3 linked regions of the Cricetulus griseus genome follow. The protein of the gene in region 1 purifies or fractionates together with the protein of each later gene. This does not show direct contact. Links are inferred from orthologs where the notes say so. Each region holds a gene or a part of one and is shown in the gene's direction. Other genes may lie near its edges. The genes, in order: Casp8, Nlrc4 and Faslg.

The links.
Region 2: the proteins of Casp8 (region 1) and Nlrc4 purify together in Homo sapiens (affinity purification with western blotting; 3 studies listed by BioGRID and IntAct, with this or other methods). This does not show direct contact. The link is inferred for Cricetulus griseus from reciprocal best matches to the Homo sapiens genes CASP8 and NLRC4.
Region 3: the proteins of Casp8 (region 1) and Faslg purify together in Homo sapiens (co-immunoprecipitation; 8 studies listed by BioGRID and IntAct, with this or other methods). This does not show direct contact. The link is inferred for Cricetulus griseus from reciprocal best matches to the Homo sapiens genes CASP8 and FASLG.

What each region holds. Positions count from the first base shown.
Region 1 is NC_048595.1:413,122,547-413,129,389, forward strand, and holds part of Casp8 (caspase-8), read left to right. Parts: intron 1-4,152; coding exon 4,153-4,261; intron 4,262-6,664; coding exon 6,665-6,803; intron 6,804-6,843. UniProt on the Homo sapiens protein: Thiol protease that plays a key role in programmed cell death by acting as a molecular switch for apoptosis, necroptosis and pyroptosis, and is required to prevent tissue damage during embryonic development and adulthood.
Region 2 is NC_048600.1:9,234,877-9,241,719, forward strand, and holds part of Nlrc4 (NLR family CARD domain-containing protein 4), read left to right. Parts: intron 1-3,092; coding exon 3,093-3,353; intron 3,354-4,608; coding exon 4,609-6,603; intron 6,604-6,843.
Region 3 is NC_048598.1:30,343,829-30,350,213, forward strand, and holds the end of Faslg (tumor necrosis factor ligand superfamily member 6), read left to right. Parts: intron 1-1,054; coding exon 1,055-1,111; intron 1,112-3,038; coding exon 3,039-3,433; 3' UTR 3,434-3,967; downstream 3,968-6,385. UniProt on the Homo sapiens protein: Cytokine that binds to TNFRSF6/FAS, a receptor that transduces the apoptotic signal into cells. Involved in cytotoxic T-cell-mediated apoptosis, natural killer cell-mediated apoptosis and in T-cell development.

The sequences.
Region 1 (6,843 bases):
CTATCCTATCTTGATGAATCCAAAACTTTTACCTAAACCACTTTCTATCATAACTTGTATTACCAGCCTAAAAATTATCCTTTTAAACCTTAAAACATTTTCTTAAACAACTAAGCCTTTATGTTTCTCAACCTTTATAAACTTTACATCTCTTTTGTAACTTTCTTTTTTGAATTTGGTAGCAAAGAAAGCGGTAAAACTCTAACCATCTAGTCTAACCATCAGAGACCTGTGGAGGATAAAATATTACCTAAGTAATCAGGAAATGCAGAGCAAACAACTTCAAAACTATAGAAATGACAGAAACAGCTGGCCTCCTGGAAAGTCACCCAAATTTCCCCTGCAGCATTGTAGCATCCATCTCCTAGAAATATATGATGGACTTTTTCTGTGAGGCAGGAATTTTGAAGAACTGTCCTACCTTGTTTTGGCAAAGTTTGGCAGTTGCCATCTTTTGTGGCCTGCTTGTCCAGTTTGGACAGCACGCTGTCAGCAGTCGAGTGAAGGGCAGCTTCTTGTCCAGTGACTAACTTTGTCACAAATGAAAGCACACTCCATATAGAGGTTCTTCAATGCCCATCATCTTCTCAGATGTAGATTGGTGCTGCCAGGAGCAAATGTATCTCACTGTTACGAAAAGCCTTATGTTATTAAAACAAATTAAATGTCATATTCAGTTGGTCTCTGAAGTGTTTGAAGATCAACTATCTGTCTAGAATATATCTCTGTATGACCTTGAAAACTTATCTCTAACATGACTACAAGTTTGGTTGTTATAGATGGCTAACTACTAACCTGTATTTCTTAATTATCCTAAATAGTTTATAATAATAGTTTTCAAAGACTAGAACTTTATATTACAGTTTTAAATGAGCTGCATAGGTACAATACCTTACACTATGTTGAAACAAAAATAACCTTAAATTTGTATCAATATACAAAAATACCTTAAACAAGAGTAGAAACATAGGAATATGTTATAACAAAATAACCTTAAATTTGTATCAATATACAAAAATACATACCAATGTAAAATATTTGAGATTAATAGTTCTTTTAGCTTAAAAGTAGATTTCAATAATCTACCCTTTTATCCTATTATTCCTATATCTCCCTTTTTCTTTTCAAAAAGATATCCCTGAATCTAACTTCCTTTGCTTAGTTTTTTTCCCTGACCACGACCCCTCTAAACAACAGCAAGCATCCACAACCCATCAAATGACTAAAAGCCACCCACCCCACCTCTAGGGAATGTGGGCATTGTGTTCTTAAGATTACTTCCTATTGTCTGGGGGTGACAGCATCTTTAGGGTACCCTGAGAAAATTGGCATAATGGTCAAGTCCTGGGAGAGCTAGCTGTTGTCCAGTCTGGGTATGATGAGAAAGTGCAGAGCTTATCTGAAATCCTGGCTGGAGTCATCTGTGAGGCTGTACCATCTCAGCTAGCAGCTTTGAAGTTGTTATGGATGCATATTTTTGAGGAAACTGTAACAGAGGCATTCTGAGAGGCTGGATCACCTGTGCTACTTACTTACCTTTATTTGTCTCTTGTCTTTTTTCTTCTGAAAACACACAAAGGTAGCATGCGTGAGCATGAGCTGCATAGGTACAATACCTTACACTATGTTGAAACAAAAATAACCTTAAATTTGTATCAATATACAAAAATACCTTAAACAAGAGTAGAAACATAGGAATATGTTATAACAAAATAACCTTAAATTTGTATCAATATACCTTACAAGTATGGAATATGTGGTGTGCACAAATCAGCTAAAGATGATTCTCTGTTCTATGCTTGATCATGTAAAAGACATCTGTTAACTTTGTAAGTTCCTTTGGACTACATAACCAAACAGTAACATAAATCTCCTTCCATGCCACATGAAAGGATGGCATGTGATAATAAGTCATAAGGGCTCTGTAGCTAAGATTTATAATGTCTCAGCCTATCTCAGAGCTGTTCCCATATAGAGGGACCAGCACATACATCATCTGTCTTGTAGATTTTCTTTGGTTTCCTCCTTTATGTCTGCAGTCAAGATTTTCAAGAGGCCTCCCTTGGTCAAATCTGAACTTTATTTTGAAGGAATCCATAACTTTTTATTTCATGTGGAAACAAAGGCACAACCTCTCCCCCAACACAACACATTTCCTGATTTCCATTCTGATGTTAAAGATCTCCTTAAAATATATAGACTGGTTTAATTCAGCAGTTTTCATAATCCAATGCTCTTAGCAGCTGTTGTTTTATTTTCCTTCATACAAACTTTTGAGTTTTTCTGACTTATTTTTTTCCAAACGTTTAAAGATTTACTTATTTTTATTTTTAATTACGTGTCTGTATTTGGGTATGTCTATGTGAGTACAGATGCCCTCAGGGGCTAGAAACCTTGGCTCTCCTGTAACTGGAGTTACAGCTGGTTGGGAGCTACCTGATTTGGATGCCAGAATTGAACTCTGGTCCTCTGCAAGAGTGTCGTGTGCTCCTAACTGCTGAGCTACATCTTCATCCCAAGTTTTGGTGACTTCTAAAACATCCTTTTGTTTATTTACTTGGCAAGTATTTTCCAAGGTCTTAAATGTGTTTATAAATAATCTTCTGTGGTGTTTTGAAAGAAAATGGCTCTAAAGGGAGTGGCACTATTAGGAGATGTGGCTTTGTTGGAATAAGTGTGGCCTTGTTGGAGGAAGTTAACTGTGATAGTGGGCTTTAAGGTCTGCTTTGCTCAAGCTACACACAGCGAGACAGTTCACCTCCTATTGCCTGTGGATCAGGATGCAGCACTCTCAGATCCTTCTCCAGCACCTTGTCTGCCTGCATGATCTCAGGTCGCATCATGATGGTCACAGACTAAACCTCTGAAACTGTGAGCCACCCCAATTAAATGTTTTCCTTTCTAAGAGTTGCCATGGTCGTCTTGCCTCTTCACAGCAATAGAAACCCTGAGGCAGCGTCTGTCACTTACTGAACTCTTAGTGTGCTGCCTAACTGTTTGGGCAATGATGTGTGTTGTTCATATGTGATGTTGGTCCTGGGAGATTATGCTACCTCACTAGTGGTGTCTTAGTGCTCTTAGTTTAAGAGCACATTGTGATGTTCACAAAATGAAGAAATCCGTTGATGAGGATCTCAGAATGTGCACCTGCCTTTAAGTGACATGTGACTGTAGTTCATGGAAACTTATGTAATTCACAGCTGTCTGTGGGGTAGATATGTATTTAGCTTCTATCTACAGATGAGCAAAGAATTGCGCAACACATCTAAAATTACAGAGTTCAAACATTGCATCTCACAAATATCAGGCTAATGGAAATGAAAAAGGCTTGGGCCAGGCTGTCAGGGGGCTTGGGTGGTTTTTTTGTTTGTTTGTTTCTGTTTTTTATGACAGGGCTTCTCAGTGTAGCCGTGGCTGTCCTGGAACTTGCTCTGCAGACCAGGCTGGCCTCGAACTCACAGGGGTCCACCTGCCTCTGCCTCTGGAGTGCACCACCACCACCACCTGGCATCTTGGGTGGTTTATAGACAGACTGTTGTAATATGTGAGTTGTCTTTCTGGGGGGAAAAATGAAGGTTCAGTGAGAGAACAGAGCCCCAAGCACTCTTGGGCAATGTGGTGTGATTGCAGGGGGCAGTGGACAAGGGAATGCAGGGTGGGGAGAACCCAGGGCGGTTGGTTGTGTTGAGAGCTTCAGGACCTTTGGTATTGCTGATTGGAACGGTGTGTGTGTGTGTGTATGTTCAGAGTACCTTGTATTCTAGAACCAAATGTTTAGCCTTCTTCCTGAAGGAAATAGCTTGGACATTGACCAGGATTCTTAGAAGGGAATCAGTTCTGATGTGCACTGTGGAGAACATGATTCCCCCAAATCATCTCCCCTGGATCTTGATTTTATAACAGCCTAAGAGCAGCATGATTGTTTTAGCTGAAGTTAGTTGGAAGACAAAGGTGATGGGACTTTGCTCAGAGTGGGCTGGTTGGCTTGACTCGGTAGATTTTCATCACTATCCAGCCTTTTCCTGAGGTTCACCAGTCAGGCATAGTTGGCTGTTTTAAGGAGGCCCTGGGAGTGGGGCCTGCGGTTAACTCTGTGCAGCGATGGGAATGATCTAGGGCGTGTTTCTAAAGTGTCTCCATTTCCTACCACAGGGTCATGCTCTTTAAGCTCTCAGAAGAAGTGACCAAGTCAGAATTGAAATCTTTTAAGTTTTTTTTGAATGAAGAGATTCCTAAATGTAAGCTGTATGATGATAACTCGGTAAGACCTGGTATGTCCTTGAGATGGGTCACCACTGGTGGATCTGAGATCAGAGGGGACTGTTCTGCCAACAACAAACTGTATTCAAGGTTGTTTCCACTTGTTTGTTTGTGCTTTCATTTGTTTGTTTGAGACATGGTATCATTAGCCCAGGTTGAACCCAAACCTGCAATATAGCCAAGGATGGCCTTAAACTTCTGGTCTTCCTGTCTTCACCTCTTGGGTGAGGGATTACTGGCATGTGGCACCACTCTCAGTTTCTGTGGTTCCAGGATGGAATTCAACAGCTTTTGCATGATAGGCAAGCACTCTACCAGCTGAGCTATACCTTAGTCCCCATGTTCTCACTTCTTACCTGGGGAAAGTAAAGTAGTGAGGCAGGGTAGTAGTTATTTATGGCTTTGATGCCTTGACACTGTAAAGTGCTACTACTCAGCCATGGGGCAGACCCAGGAGACAGAGTAGGCAAGTTGGGCAGTGCCACAATACATGGGACCAAGCAGGGCCAGGGAGGAAATGCAGCCTGGGGTCACATCTTCCTCACCTCTGCTGCTTTTGAAATGTCACGTTTGCTTGTTTGTTTGTTCCCCCAGTGTGTGGTATGTGTCTTTATGAGTAGGTTGTATGATGTATGTGTCTGTGTCTACATGCTGTGTATATTGTGTGTGTGCTTCTTTTTTCTTCTAATACATTATTTAATATCTTACTATGTTACCTCTCTCTAATATACTCAGTGCCTCAGTGACAATAATGTCATCCAGGCCCCCACAGGAACTACAGTGGGGAAATGAATACACAGTTTGCCTATAATAAGCCCACTCCAACTTCCCTTCTGTTTTTAGGTTTCCTTTTTATTAATTTTTTTACATTCCAATCCCAGTTCCCTCTCCTTCCTCTCCTCCCGGGCACCTCCCATCTGCTCCTCAGACAGGGTAAGGCCTCCCCTAGGAAGTCTACTAAGTCTGTCTCATCATCTCACTGAGGTGGGATCAAGGCACCACCTACCCGCTTCCCTGTGTCTAGGTTAAGCAAGGAATCTCTCCATATAGAACGGCTCTACTAAGTCAGTTTGTACATTAGAGTTAGATCTTGGATCACTGCCAGTGGCCTCATATACTGTCCCAGTCACACCATTGTCAGGGAGTCTAGTTCAGTCTTATGCAGGTTCCCCATTTGTCAGACCTGAATCAGTGATCTCTCACTAGCTCGGGTCAGCTGATTCTGTGGGTTTCCCCATCATGGTCTTGACTCCTTTGTTCATATTATAGCTCCTCCCTCACTCGAGGAGCTTGGCCCAATGGTTAGTTGTGGATTTCTGCATCTGCTTCCATCTGTTTCTGGAAGAGGGTTCTAGCTTCTCTGGCGTTGTGGATTGTAGGCTGGGTATCTTTTGCTTTATGTCTGGTATCCACTTATGAGTGAGTACACACTACATTTGTCTTTCTGGGTCTGGGTTACCTCACTCAGGATTATTTCATACCATTGAGTAGTACTCCATTGTGTAAATGTACCACCTTTTCTTTATCCATTCTTCAGTTGAGAGACATCTATGTTGTTTCCAAGATCTGGCTATTATGAATAAGGTTGCTATGAACGTGTGTGTGTGTGTTGTGTGTGTGTGTGTGTGTGTGTGTGTGTGTGTGTGTGTGTGTGTGTGTGTTTGTGTTTGTGTGTGCTTCTTATGTATATGTGTGGCATATGTACCTGTGTGTGTGGTGTATACCTCTGCGTCTCTGTTGGTCTGAGTCTACCTATGTGTAGTACATATGTGTATGGGTTTCTCCCCACCCCACCCCCCGGTGTGTGTGTGTGTGTGTGTGTGTGTGTGTGTGTGTGTGTGTGTGTGTGTGCTTTTGTGTGCTGTGTGGTGTATTGTAATTCTGATGTTTGCTTTGTCCAAGTGTATCTTTGTACATTTGTTTAGTGTGGGTGCATACGAGCGCACATGAACACGTGTGTACATGCTCATGGCCTCTCTGTGTGTGTTTGGTGCCCTGCACATGTCTCTCTCTCTGTATGTGCATTCGCTGAGGTTTAGAGGTGGATAAGGCAATGCCAGAGTATAATGCAGTCTCCAGGGCTGTTCTTCCCACACTCCTCCAGGCTGGTCCATAGATGAAGGCTTCCACAGATAGTTTGGGAACAAGGCCTGGGGACTGGTGACATCTGACATGGCTTCTCTTTTTTTTCTATGTTTTTATCCTTTTAGGCCAGAAAACACAGAATGGCCTTCCTGATTACTGTCAACTTTGAGGGATCAGTATGTGCTCAGGGGTGGGAGGGCGATCTCTGTGGGAAATAAGACTGGGCTCTTGCTTTGGAAGAAGTGGAATTAAGGAAACAAAAACCTAGTTCCCAGGCCTGAGCACTCAATCCATTTGTCCCTTGCTCTCTCCTCCCCAGAGCCTGCTTGATATTTTTGTGGAAATGGAGAAGAGAGTCATCCTGAGGGAAGAAAACTTGGATGCCCTGAAATCAATCTGTGCCCAGGTCAACAAGAGCCTGCTGGAGAAGATTGAGGCTTATGAAAAATCAAGCAGAGGTAGACAGCTGATGGTTATGAGGCGGCAAAGCCTCCAGAG
Region 2 (6,843 bases), on another chromosome or scaffold:
TAAACACTAAAATACACACATATGTATATGGATAGTTTTTACATGTCTTTTTATTTTTTCTTTTCCTGTTTCAGAAAGGTTGTTCTAAATAGTTCTGGCTGTCTTGGAACTCACTATGTTGACCAGGCTGGCCTCTGCCTCCTGAGTGCTGGGATTAAAGGCGTGATACCACCACATCCAGTGCATCTTTTTTCAATATCACAAAGTTTTTGAGTACTAAGAGAACTTGGTGTCTTCATTTAAAGTGGGAAGATATCTAGCTTCAGAGACAGTTCACACAAATAGATGTGGGACTGCAGACCTATCTGACACTTAAGTGTCTTCTGCCATAAAATAAAAATCAGTAAACATAGATTTAGTAGTTTTCTTTTTTTGGGGGGGGGTTTCAAAGCAGGGTTTCTCTGTGTAGCTTTGGAGCCTATCCATGGCACTCACTCTGGAGACCAGGCTGGCCTTGAACTCACAGAGATCCACCTGCCTCTGCCTCCCGAGTGCTGGACTTAAAAGCGTGCACCACCAAATGCCCAGAGTCAGTTTTCTTTATAAGAAGGATGCAGATGCCAAGAATACAGATGAGACCCCACAGGGAGAGCAATGGGGCTCCCTCACAGGACTTGTAGAGAGTGGCTCTGTTGAGGTTAGCAGTGGGGATCTGCAATGGTGAGGAGGGGAGCTTGAGTGAGACCCCCGCGGGTTGGACTTCCTGATGGTGCATTTTAGGCCAGAGAGGACTTGGTGGCTTTTCGAAGAATGTCTTCACTTTTAAATTGGTCACAAGAGATGGAAAAGCCTTAGGTAGCCTACTGTACAAAGCAAACTTGCAGGCTGAGAGTATAAGACCAGGGGTACATACCTTTAAGCTGTCACAGAGACAGTGAACTATAGTACCAAGGCACAGTTTTGCCTGTATTTAAGAGTTAGGCCCAGGATTGGGGCTGTAATTTAGTGGTAGAGAGTTGGCCTCCCAAGCTTGAGGTTGTAGGTTCAATAAGTCCCCAGGACTGCCAACCAAACCAAACCCCCAAACAGATTAAGATATTGCAGAGGCACACACACACACACACACACACACACACACACACACACACACACACACACGATGAGGCCTTCTTAGAGACTGGGAGAAGTGAGAGAGCTTAGACTGGATACTGTCTAATACTTTGTAGTGATCATTTTTGGAAAAGACTAAAACTTGTGAAACATAAAACACCTATTTCTTTGAGTTGTGACAGGAAAGTGAGAACTGAGCATGTTGGCATATTACTTTGTGTGTGATGACAGACATGAATTCTCCTAACAACTACCCAGGGTATACAGACTATGTGCTATAGAAGGGTTTGGTGAACTGTTGACTTTTCAGATTTTTGTTTCCCAGTCAACATATGGCTATCTTGAAATTGGCCATGGTGAAAATATCGAATCCCTTCCTGGGCTCAGTAAATGCTATGAAAGGGATATTCTGTCACCAGAGATCCTGGCTGTTACATAGTTGGCAGTATTTCAGATTCAAAAGAGAGTTGCCAAAGGTTACAGATGCTAGCAAGTGGCAGATCCTATGCTGTTACAGTAATGTTACCTACCTGGGGGAAGTGTAAGCAAACACCTAGTCACCCCAGGTAGAGCCTCAGATAAGAGACTAAAGCAACCATTCCACCTATCTAGTTTGTTGAATCAGTAGGTTTGTTGGTCTTGCTTATTGGAGCCCAGGTAAAGGGTAACCACAAATACACACATCCCCACAAGGCCCTATATCAAGCATGGATGATGACTAGCTGTGTATGCATACGTAGAGTCCCTCCTCCAGCTGTCGTGACCCAGAATGTCTCAGCCTTAGTCCATGGGGTTCTACCTGAGTGGGGGTGTGTGGACCTGGAAGGTTCGAGGAACCCAATGGCGATAAAGACCAAACACAGGCATCTTGTCATCTTCAGAGAGCTCTCAGTTCCACGTTGTGGAACTAGAGTCATTTCTTTATTGGCCATCTTTTCTGGTGTCTCTTAACCATCCTGCTAATACTACAAGGCAACCATTTCTCTCTTTGTTCTCCTCTCGCCGCCAGAGCCTGGGACCCAATATTCGGTCCCCCACATCCAGCTAACCTTGCACCCTCTATTCTAGCACCTCCCACGTCAGGTTGAAGTTGAGGCAGGATGGCTGGGAGGGAGACATAGAGGAGAAAAGCTGGGAACTCAGTCGAGGGCCTAATGCTCCCTTTAACTCCTCCTCCTAAGGAAGAATGTCGACAGGTACAATATTGTGAGGGTCTCTTGCTCTGATTAAGATGGTAATGGCTCTTGGGCCCATGTTTTCACTACTGTGACTTCACTGGAGATTTTCTCCTCCCCCACTTTTGGAGACAGGGTCTCACTATGTGGCCCTGGCTGTGCTGAAATTCACTCTGTAGACCAGACTAGCCTCAAACTCACAGAGATCTGCCTGCCTCTGCCTCCTGAATGCTGGGATTAAAGGTGTGCACCACCACACCTGGTGCTCACTAGAGAGACTCTTGTATCAGTGGACAAATCACCCACCTAACTTCATCACCTTAAACTGCCTTGCTCACTGAGCAAAGTTAGGGCTGCAGAGTTTTGCAGAGCACTTTTGTTTTTGTTGTTTGTTTTATGAGATGAGGTTTCTCTGTGTAAATGCCCTGGCTGTCTGGAAACTCACTCTGTATATCAGACTGGCCTCAAACTCAAAGAGATCCCCCTGCCTCTGCCTCCCAAGTACTGAGATTAAAGGTGTGCAAACCACCTCCTGGCTTGCAGAGCACTTTCTTGAGGACCTGAATGTCAAGCATCTGGTGTCTCAATAATTCAAGATGGGCCTAAGGAAAACAAATGCAGTCTGATGCGCTGGTGACAGATACATGTATTTCTTGTTGGCTAAAATAAAAAAAATGGCCGGGCAGTGGTGGCACACACCTTTAATCCTACCACTCGGGAGGCAGAGGCAGGCAGATCTCTGTGAGTTTAAGACCAGCCTGGTCTACTGGAGCTAGTTCCAGGACAGCCTCCAAAGCCACAGAGAAACCCTGTCTCGAAAAACCTAAATAATAAATAATAAACAAATGTTTCCCTGTGTCTCCTCAGTGAACTTCATAAAGGAAAACAGTCAAGCTCTTATTCAAAGGATGGGCATCACAGTTATCAAGCAAATCACAGATGAGCTTTTTGCATGGAATGTTCTCAACTATGAAGAAAAGGCCAACATTTGCTGTGAGAAGGTGGAACAGGATGCTGCACGAGCGATCATTCATATGATTCTGAAGAAGGGCTCAGAGGCCTGTAACCTCTTTCTTAAGTGTCTTGAGAAGTGTGACTATACTATGTATCAGGACTTAACTGGACAAAGTAAGTATTGCTTTGCTCACCTCTGTCCCACCATTAAGAACACAAACCATTCAGAATACCTACAGTCCCTTCTGTGGAATTTCAGCTTGTCCTCTACCCTTGTGTGGCTGGCCAGGGACTTTGAGTCATTTACAGTAGACACTTGACAGTGAAGCTTATATAAGTAATCTCAGAGCTGGGCAAGAAATGAGTTAAGTATAGTCACACTTCAAAGTACAACTGGAATTCTGGGTGTGCGTAATTGGCTACCCTGGGCTCTTTGGGGAGACTGAGGCAGGTGGATTGGGAGATTGAAGCCAGCCTGGGATGGAAATATATAAAGACTCTGTCAAAAAAAATGTTTAGCTAGAACACAAATAGATGAAGCCAGCAATCCTTAGTCATCTGTGGGTGAGTGGTCCTGCCGACTGTCTATCTCATGTTGCAGTGTCTTGGAAAAGTGACCACTCTACTTTCCAAGCAGCAGTAATTTCATCATCATCAAGCTATACCTCCAACTCCTCATTTTAATTAAGTGACTAAATTGCGTAATTGGTTGAATTTTACTCCATCACACATTCTGAGGGAAATCTTTCACTTTCCTTAACTAAGATGATGGCTCCTCTCATTTCCAATCTGCTGCTGTAAGATTTGATTGTGAGAAAAAAGAAATGGAATGTAGAGAAGAGGGAATGAGTGGAAAGGCCAAGGGAAATCGATGGGAATTTGGAGCCTGTGTGGTATCTAAGAACTAGGAAGAAAGTCAAAGTCACCCCCAGCTGCCATTCTCGGCAACTCTGCTGTTCATCCCCCTGAGCCCTGGGCTTCAGAGATGTCTTGATTAGGGTTTCTATTATTTGACAAAACACCATGACCAAAGAGCATGTTGGGGAGGAGATGGTTTATTTGGCTTATGCTTCCATATCACTGTTCATTACTGAAAGAAGTCAGGACAGGATCCAGGAGGTAAGACCTGACAGAGAGGCTATAGAGGAGTGCTGTTCACTGACTTGCTTCCCCCTGCCTTGCTCAGTCTGCTTTCTTATAGAACCCAGGACCAACAGCCCAGGGATGGCCCTACTCACCATAAGCTGGGCCCTCCCCCATTGATCACTAAATAAGCAAATGCCTTACAGCTGGATCTCATAGAGGCATTTCCTCAGCAGAGGCTCCTTCCTCTCTGAAGACTCTAGTTTGTGTCAACTTGACACAAAACCAGCCACTGCAGAGGCAATGCAGAGTCAAGTCCTCTGTAACAGCATCTCTTCTCTAACAGGTATTTTTCATCAGAACACAGAAGAAGACTTGGATGTCTTGGCTCAGAATTTAAAATACTTATACAACAGCCCCACATTTCTGAACTTCTATCCCCTGGGTAAAGATATTGACATCATTTTCAATCTGAAGATCACCTTCACAGAACCCGTCCTATGGAGGAAGGACCATCGTTATCATCGCATGGAGCAGCTAACCCTGGGCAGTCTGTTGGAGGCTCTTGAGAGCCCCTGCCTCATTGAAGGGGAGTCTGGCAAAGGGAAGTCCACCCTGCTGCAGAGAATTGCCATGCTCTGGGCCTCTGGGGAGTGCAAGGCTCTGAACAGGTTCAAATTGGTCTTCTTTGTCCGCCTGAGCAGTGCAGAGCATGGACTGTTTGAAACAGTGTGTGATCAGCTCCTGAATGTACCCGACTCCACTAGCAAGCAAGGGTTCATGGCTATGCTGCTGAAACTGCAGCAGGAAGTCCTCTTTCTTCTCGATGGTTACAATGAATTCCAGCCCCAGAACTGCCCAGAAATCGAAGACCTGATAAAGCAAAACCATCGTTTCAAGAACATGGTCATTGTCACGACCACCACAGAGTGCCTGAGACATATCAGACATGTTGGCGCCCTGACTGCGGAGGTGGGGGATATGACAGAAGACAGCGCCCAGGTGCTCATCCGACAAGTGCTGATAAAGGAGCTGGCTGAAGGCCTGCTCTCCCAGATCCAGGTGTCCAAGTGCTTGAGGAATCTGATGAAGACCCCTCTCTTCGTGGTGATCACCTGTGCAATCCAGATGGGCAGGAAGGAATTCAAAGATCACACACAAACCACATTGTTCCGAACCCTCTACGACCTCCTGATAAAGAAAAACAAGCACAGACACAGAGGCGGGGCTGACAGTGATTTTCTCAGGAGCCTAGACCGCTGTGGAGACCTGGCCCTGGAGGGCATGTTCTCCCACAGGTTTGCTTTTGAACCCGAGGACCTGTCCAGCATGAATGAGGATGTCCTGGTGACAACTGGGCTCCTCTGTAAGTACACAGCTCAGAGGCTGACACCCAAGTATAAATTCTTTCATAAATCCTTCCAGGAGTACACAGCGGGACGAAGACTTAGCAGTTTGTTGATTTCCAGAGAACCAGAGGAGGTAAGCAAGGGGAATGACTACTTGAAGAAAATGGTTTCCATCTCAGACATCACATCCCTGTATGGCAATCTGCTCCTGTACACATGTGGTTCATCCCCAGAGGCGACCAGGGCTGTCATGAGGCACCTTGCATTGGTGCATGAGCATGGCAGCTTACAAGGGCTTTCTGTCACCAAGAGACCACTCTGGAGGCAAGAATCTGTACAGAGCATGAGAAACACCACTGAGCAAGATGATCTGAAAGCCATCAACACAAACTCTTTTGTAGAGTGTGGCATCAACCTGTTCTTGGAGAGCATATCTGAATCAGCCCTGAGTCAAGAATTTGAAGCTTTCTTTAGTGGTAAAAGTTTACACATAGACTCAGAGAACATCCCCGATTACTTATTTGACTTCTTTGAACACTTGCCTAATTGTGTAAGCGCACTGGACTTTGTCAAGCTGATCTTCCATGGGAGAGCCACTGCTTCACAGGACAAAGCTGCAGAGAACAGTCCTGGAGTCCACATGGAAGGCCCCTCTGAAACCTACATTCCCAGCAGGGCTGTGTCTTTGTTCTTCAATTGGAAGCAGGAATTCAAGACTCTAGATGTCACACTCCGGAATATCAGCAAGCTGGATAAACAAGATATCAAATATCTGGGGAAGATATTCAGCTCCGCCACAAACCTCCGGCTGCACATCAAGAGATGCGTGGCTGTGACTGGAAGCCTCAGCTCAGTCCTCAGGACCTGTAAGAACATCCATTCCCTCACGGTGGAAGCCAGTCCCCTCACCATAGATGATGAACAGCACGTCACGTCCGTTACAAACCTCCAGAACTTGAGCATTCACAACCTGCACACCCAACGGCTGCCAGGTACCAGTGTGTCCGAAGTGTGCAATCATGACTGGATGGTGCTCTGCACCTGCTAGATGGCACAGAGGCTTCTAGAACCAGTTCTAATGCTTTTTGCCTCCTGGGTGCATCCCTGAGTCTGGCTTACCTTCTCTGTATTTCCTCTGTCCTTCATTTCAGCTGCCTTGAGCCTCCCTGTGGTTCCTGCCTCCAACTGCAATCTGAAAGTGTTCAGGTGCCAAAGATTTACTTATTTTATGT
Region 3 (6,385 bases), on another chromosome or scaffold:
AATGACTTCAATTTAATTTACTGATACTATGCTAAACAAGGCTAAATGCTCTTGTTACTTAACTATATAGTAAAATGGCATTAGGGAAAGACTTGGTAGCCAGGATCCCAAAGTCCAGCAATGTTAGTACTAGTTTAGATCATAAAGTGATTATTCCAGAGAGCTGCTATTTTCCTGGACAAGAAGGAAGTAAAGGCAGTTTTTATAGTTGCCCTAGGAGGGAGGAGCCATAACTATCAAGAGAGGCAAAGACAGAAGGGTCTTAGGCTTTGAAGGGTGAAGGGCCATATTTGACAAAAAGTGTGGAAGGGTTTCCCAAAGGAAGAGGAGTGTAAGATGGTCACTAGATAATTGACAGGAATTTAACTCAGAGATCTCATTTGGAGGGCGTTCTGGACAGAATGAGCAAAAGCCCAGGAGCAGGGAAGAAGGGGGCATAATCAGTTCATAGAACCCATGCTGTGTGCAAGTGTTTGATGGGATGGAATAGAGGGAGTAAGACTGATACCATGTAGAGGAACTCTGGCTAAGGCTACATGATGGAGTAAAATTGTGGACAACCTCGTGATAGATGAGGAGGTCTTAATATTATCACCTTGGAAATAGATTGTAGATTGGTGCCCAGGAGATGAATCAGTAGTCTACAGGTCAGCAGAATCAGGGTGTACAGACCAGGGATTTACAGTCAGCCCAAGGTGCCCATTGCATCCACCGTTAAAGTCAGTCAGTTACTAATGTCTTATTGCCAGTTATAATTGGGACAATAAAGGGGTCAAGGCAAGTTCTAAATGGAGTAAATGAAATGGCTATTTTATCATAATATAATTTATGTATTCATCTGTATTTACCTGTCTTGTCTTTTTAAACTGTTTTTGAATTACAGACTCTCATGAGTCCCACAGTTTAGAATTTCTTGATAAGTCTGTACTAGAATATTTCCCCCTATGCTCTGAAAATCACATATTTAAATAGTGGGATTTAGAGTCCCAATCAAGATAGTGGTTGGCACCCATCATCATAATTTTCACATGTCTTTTGTCTCTCTATGATGCAGACCACCCCGGTCAACCCTCTGAAAAAGAAGAGCCGAGGTGTGTGGCCCATTTAACAGGTTTGTGTCTGGAAGGACTGGGTGAGGACAGAAAGTCTGGAAAACTGTGGACCAAATGCTCAATTTCCATTGTAGGCTCTTAGAAAGTATTATTGACAATTGTATTTACCACTCAAGACCATTCATATCTCTGGGATCTCATGAGCCTAATCTGACAATTCTAATGCTGTAGACTTGTGTATGGCTTGATCTTGGCCATAAAATGTGCACTCTTGAGGATGGAGCTCACCTTAAAGCTCTAAGCTCTGGACAGATGATAGAGAAAACGGGTGTCACACAGATGTGAAGGGAGATGAGAACAACAGCTGCAGCCAATTTCAAAGCATAGACAGTAACGAGGATGTGCATAAAACTGTTGACAGAGGATAGAAACTTCCTGTTGTATTTCCTTTAAGATGGGAAATGATCATTTTTAACCATGCAGGTTTTGCAAGAGCGTGAGCACGAGCACACACACATGTGCAAACACCTGTCTGGGCTAGATAAATTGGACCCTGAGGATATTGTCCTTTGGCTCTGGAGCTTACAAACTCTGACTAAGTGCACGTCTCTCCTGTAGATAATGGCCAGCTGGAGAGGGTGGCTTCAGGGTAGAGTGGTCATAATTCCTGTTTGAAGTGTGAAGAATTCTGATTTCCCCCTTGCCTCGACCTCTTGGTGACCTCTGTTAAGGACATGTCAGGTTGGCACAGGAGCCCCAGCCATCATTTCCTGAGAGGAGGAGATGGCTGCCTTGATTGAAGGGAGTGTGACATCAACACTGGCAAAGGTGGTGTGTATTTGTCACACCTCAGAAGTGGGCATTGCTGGTGCTTCCTGGGAGGGATGTGACAGTCACAGGCACAGGGCTATTAATGGAATCTGCCTAAGTTTTCCCTTGCCTCTCAATGGGGTGAGGCTCAGCTGCTATGGTCTGTCATTCTAGCTGGCCTCAAGGGCTAAAGTACACATGGGAAAATGTAAGGGCACATGTGACATATGTGTTATATTTGATGTAACCACAGCATGAGGAATTGCAAAGGGAAGGAAGGGAGTCTACTAGGCTGACAGTCCTGTGGCAGAAACAAAGAACAGTTATCCCAACTCTTAAGGAAGCCCTCTGTCCATTAGATAAACCAAGAGAGATTATTTATAAAACAAAAAGTGCACTCTTTTCAACCATGCCAAAATCCACAAGGGGACTTGTGACATAAGTCCAAGAGGAGCAGCCAAGGGTGAGTGATGCACTGTTTTGAATAAGAAGAGATTGTTCTGGCATTTGTGGGTTTTCAGCCTATGATTATAAAGTAAATAAGTGTTTTAGTATAATATGGCATGGGCAACTCCATTAGAAATATAAACATTAAAAATGTAGTTATATATCACAAGAAGAGGTGTACCATACCTCCTGTCATCACTTGGAGGCTGTAGAAAAATTCATCTGGGTCCACAAACACTTATTGAGTACTTGCTGTGTGTAGGTACATAATGCTGTGTGAACAAAATGGAAGGGGATTAGCCCAAAATAAGAGGCCAAGGAATCCAAACTAAACAAGGAAGTGGACCACATAACCATGAGATTTTGTCCAGATGTAGAACTCTGGAGATCATTCTCTTTATGGAGGGATGCCCAAGCTCAGCGGTGTTGGTACTAGTTTAGATCATAAAATGTTTGTTCCAGAGAACTGAAATTATCCTAATAGTCTTCCCTGAGATCAATCAGAGACACACACTAAATTTGTCCCAATCACATGGATGATTAAATTAGGGTGGACAATTTGACAAAGGTGTTGAAGAAACTCTGGGGTGGACCATGCTTTGACCCCTGATTGGCTGTCCTTCTGGATAGAGCTTTTGTTAAGGAAGGGCCCAGAGTTTTCCCTTGGAATCTTAGCCCATCAGATGTGGGAGACCTTCTGGCTGAAAGTTCTTCTCTGGTTTATTTCAGGCAACCCCAGCTCAAGGTCTGTCCTTCTGGAGTGGGAAGACACATATGGAACTGCTCTGATCTCTGGAGTGAAGTATAAGAAAGGTGGCCTTGTGATCAATGTCCCTGGCTTGTACTTTGTATATTCCAAAGTATACTTCCGGGGTCATTCTTGCACCAATCAGCCCTTAAGTCACAAGGTCTACATGAGGAACTCTAAGTATCTTGGGGATCTGGTGTTAATGGAGGAGAAGAAGTTGAACTACTGCACTCCTGGCCAGATGTGGGCCCACAGCAGCTATCTGGGGGCAGTATTCAATCTTACCAGTGCTGACCATTTATACGTCAACATCTCTCAACTCTCTCTGATTAATTTTGACGAATCTAAGACATTTTTTGGCTTATATAAGCTTTAACAGAAAAAGCACTTTAGAATTATCCATTATTCCGTTTTATGGGTACTGGGAATATTGTCTTGAATGAGTGTCTTTTTAAGACCAATTGAGATTAATCAAGACAAAATGAGCCACAAAGACCTCATGATCACAAGGTTCAACAGGTCAACTTTCCTTCATTTCCCAGAGTGGTCCTTAATGCCTCCATCGTGAGCTAGATGGAAGGAGAACTGTGGCCAAGGAACATAAAGCTTTGGGCTGCCATGTGATGATGCAGAGGCACAGAGAAGGAACTGTCTGATGCTAAAAATGGCCAAGAGCATTTTAGCCATTGAAGAGGACACTTTTAAACTCACCTTTCAGGGTGGGTCTACTTGCTACCTCAGAGGAGGCCATCTTTCAGACACATGGTTATGATCTGAATATACAAGGCATGGGAAAAGGGGGCCAGGTTTGACTGATAAGCTAGAGACTGAAAGAGGCCAATGTCTCATTGGCATCATCTTTACTTTTAACGGGTGTTTTCTGAGCCAACCTTTGATGCTAACAGAGAACTAAGAGGGATGTTTGAAGCACAGATCATTCCTTACACAGCATGTGTATCTCCAGTGCAATGGCATGTGTGTCTCCAGTGCAATGGCATGTGTGTCTCCAGTGCAATGGTGTCTGTGTGTGTTTGTATGTATGAGAGAGCAGACAGACAGATTCTAGAGAGTCATATAAATAGAATGTGTGCATTACAAAGTACATATTAGAAACATATGTGTTACATTTGGTGGTGGATATCTGAATGTTTCTTGGCAATAAACTCTAATAGTCTTCAAAATTTTTTTATTACCAGCTACTTATGCTGTTTTCCTTTAATAGAACTAGTATATATATATATATATATTTTGTGAATCTTAGTGAAAAAAGACAAATAAAAATTGTATTGCAGAATATAGAAAAGTATTAAGGATATAGTGTTTGGAAATCAGCGAGATGTGCTTATTGTTTCTTTTCTCCATGGTTTCTTCATTCATAATGGCTTTGGAGCATTCTGAGAAAGATTTACAAAGGTGAGTAGAGCTGTGTGGCAAATTCTTCCATCTTCATCAGTTTCTTGTCTTTTCTCTCTATCTGCTCTCCTCTGGACCTCACATTACCCTGAGTTTTGTTTACCACCATTATGGCCAACATTAAGCTGACCCAAATTTCCACATATTTGATGGCAACTCATCTTCTCTGGGGTTAGAGTCATGGCAAAGTAGAAAAGATACATGCTTTGTAGTAGAAAAAAAGAAGCCTGGAGTTGATCTTTGTTCTTGTTCTTAGCTCACTTTGCAGTCTGGTAGATCACTTGCCCTCTGATGTGCAGAAAAGAATTGATATATGTGTAATATATGTGCAGCCTCTTTAATATGTATGTGTAATAGATTATCCAAGGGGGGTTTGAAGCCACAGATAGGAGGAAAAGTTAAAAAGAAAACTGAAACACACCTCAACCCCTAACACTGTAAACAAGAAAGATATTATTAGTTACCTGACATTTCCAGAAATAAAATATGGGAGGAAGAAGGGAAAGTGCCAAGTCAACAGAACCCAAGCTGTTATTCAAAAGAGTTGGTAAATGTTTCCTGAATAAACTGAGGGACAAAATCAAAATCTCAGGTTGGAAAGTATCAACTTTTATCTTCAGGCTCTTCTATCTGACATCTGCTTTGGGTGGGTGGGTTACTTCAAGGAGAATGTCTGGGAGGTATTTGGTCTTTTGGTTGTAGATTTGCCTTTCTAGTCATTGTGATGAAATCCCCTTCATCTTTTTCCTTATATTTTGGCCTTCAGTCATCAAAGATGCTTGTTGCAAGGATCATGGAACATTTTCTGGATATTTTTATTCTCTTTGTCAATGAGCATTTCTAGACAATCATACTAGAGCAAAGAAGTAAGTATGGAGGCACAGGCATCTTGAGAATTGGTGGATGTTATAATGTAACAGTCAAGCTGCTCTGGTATCCATCTCTCGAGGGTCCCTTTGGGGTTATATTAATAGATCACTACACTTTAAGTATTCTGATTCTTGGCCTTTTGGTGAAGATCAAGTATAGTATTAGTTCCAGTAAAAAGATGCTAACAATACCTTTAAAAACCTTGAATTTTTTTCTCTAATTTAAAACACAAGTAATATTAAAACCAAAACACTTTTGAAGGTATTCATTGAAAATGGGATCTCCCATTGTTTCTTAACGAAAGATGATTAAAGACAAAGTTCAACACAGATCTACATAGAAAAGTCACTTCTAGTTCAATGGTTTGAGGTTTTCTTTTCTAACATCTAACAGCACACAACACCCATTCTTTTCTTAGCCCCTCAGACTGGTGGCTTTGTGTTCTCTGAAGTAGGTTTTGACTTACCACAGCTTAACAGGAAAGAGCTTTCCTGTGGCCATCATCAGAAGAGTATCTATTCTGAGGCACTTTCAGAAGAAGGAAATAGAGGGGGAAGCCTAGCCCCCTCAAAACCAAAGTAGATGCTTGCCTTTGTGGGCTAAGGCTTAGATATTTCCTAGTCCTAATCAAAAGAAGGGGAGAGGCCATGTGTGAAATTATATATATTTAAAGGTACCTGAGTAGAAGTTCTACCTTAGGGGCTCTTTTTCTTACCTAATGTGATAGGTCACAAGTGACCTAGAAAACAAGAGGCAGGACACATGATTTAGGGTATTTGTACTCAGCAATGAGCCCAGCTAGAAGTGGTGCAGCCTTTGGTAGTGCCAGGGACCTTTAGAGTTCACCTGGAACCCCACCAGACTTGGCCATGTAGGTGGCTAAGCAGGCATCTTGTTTCTTACAGTTCACATAGGAGACAGCAGAGTCTTCTCAATGCTGACCTCTGATGGGGGATGTCCTTCTGTATATATGTTTCTCTTATTGGTTGATGAATAAAACACTGTTTGGCCAATAGAGGCAGGAAGATAGGCGGGACTAGGAGAT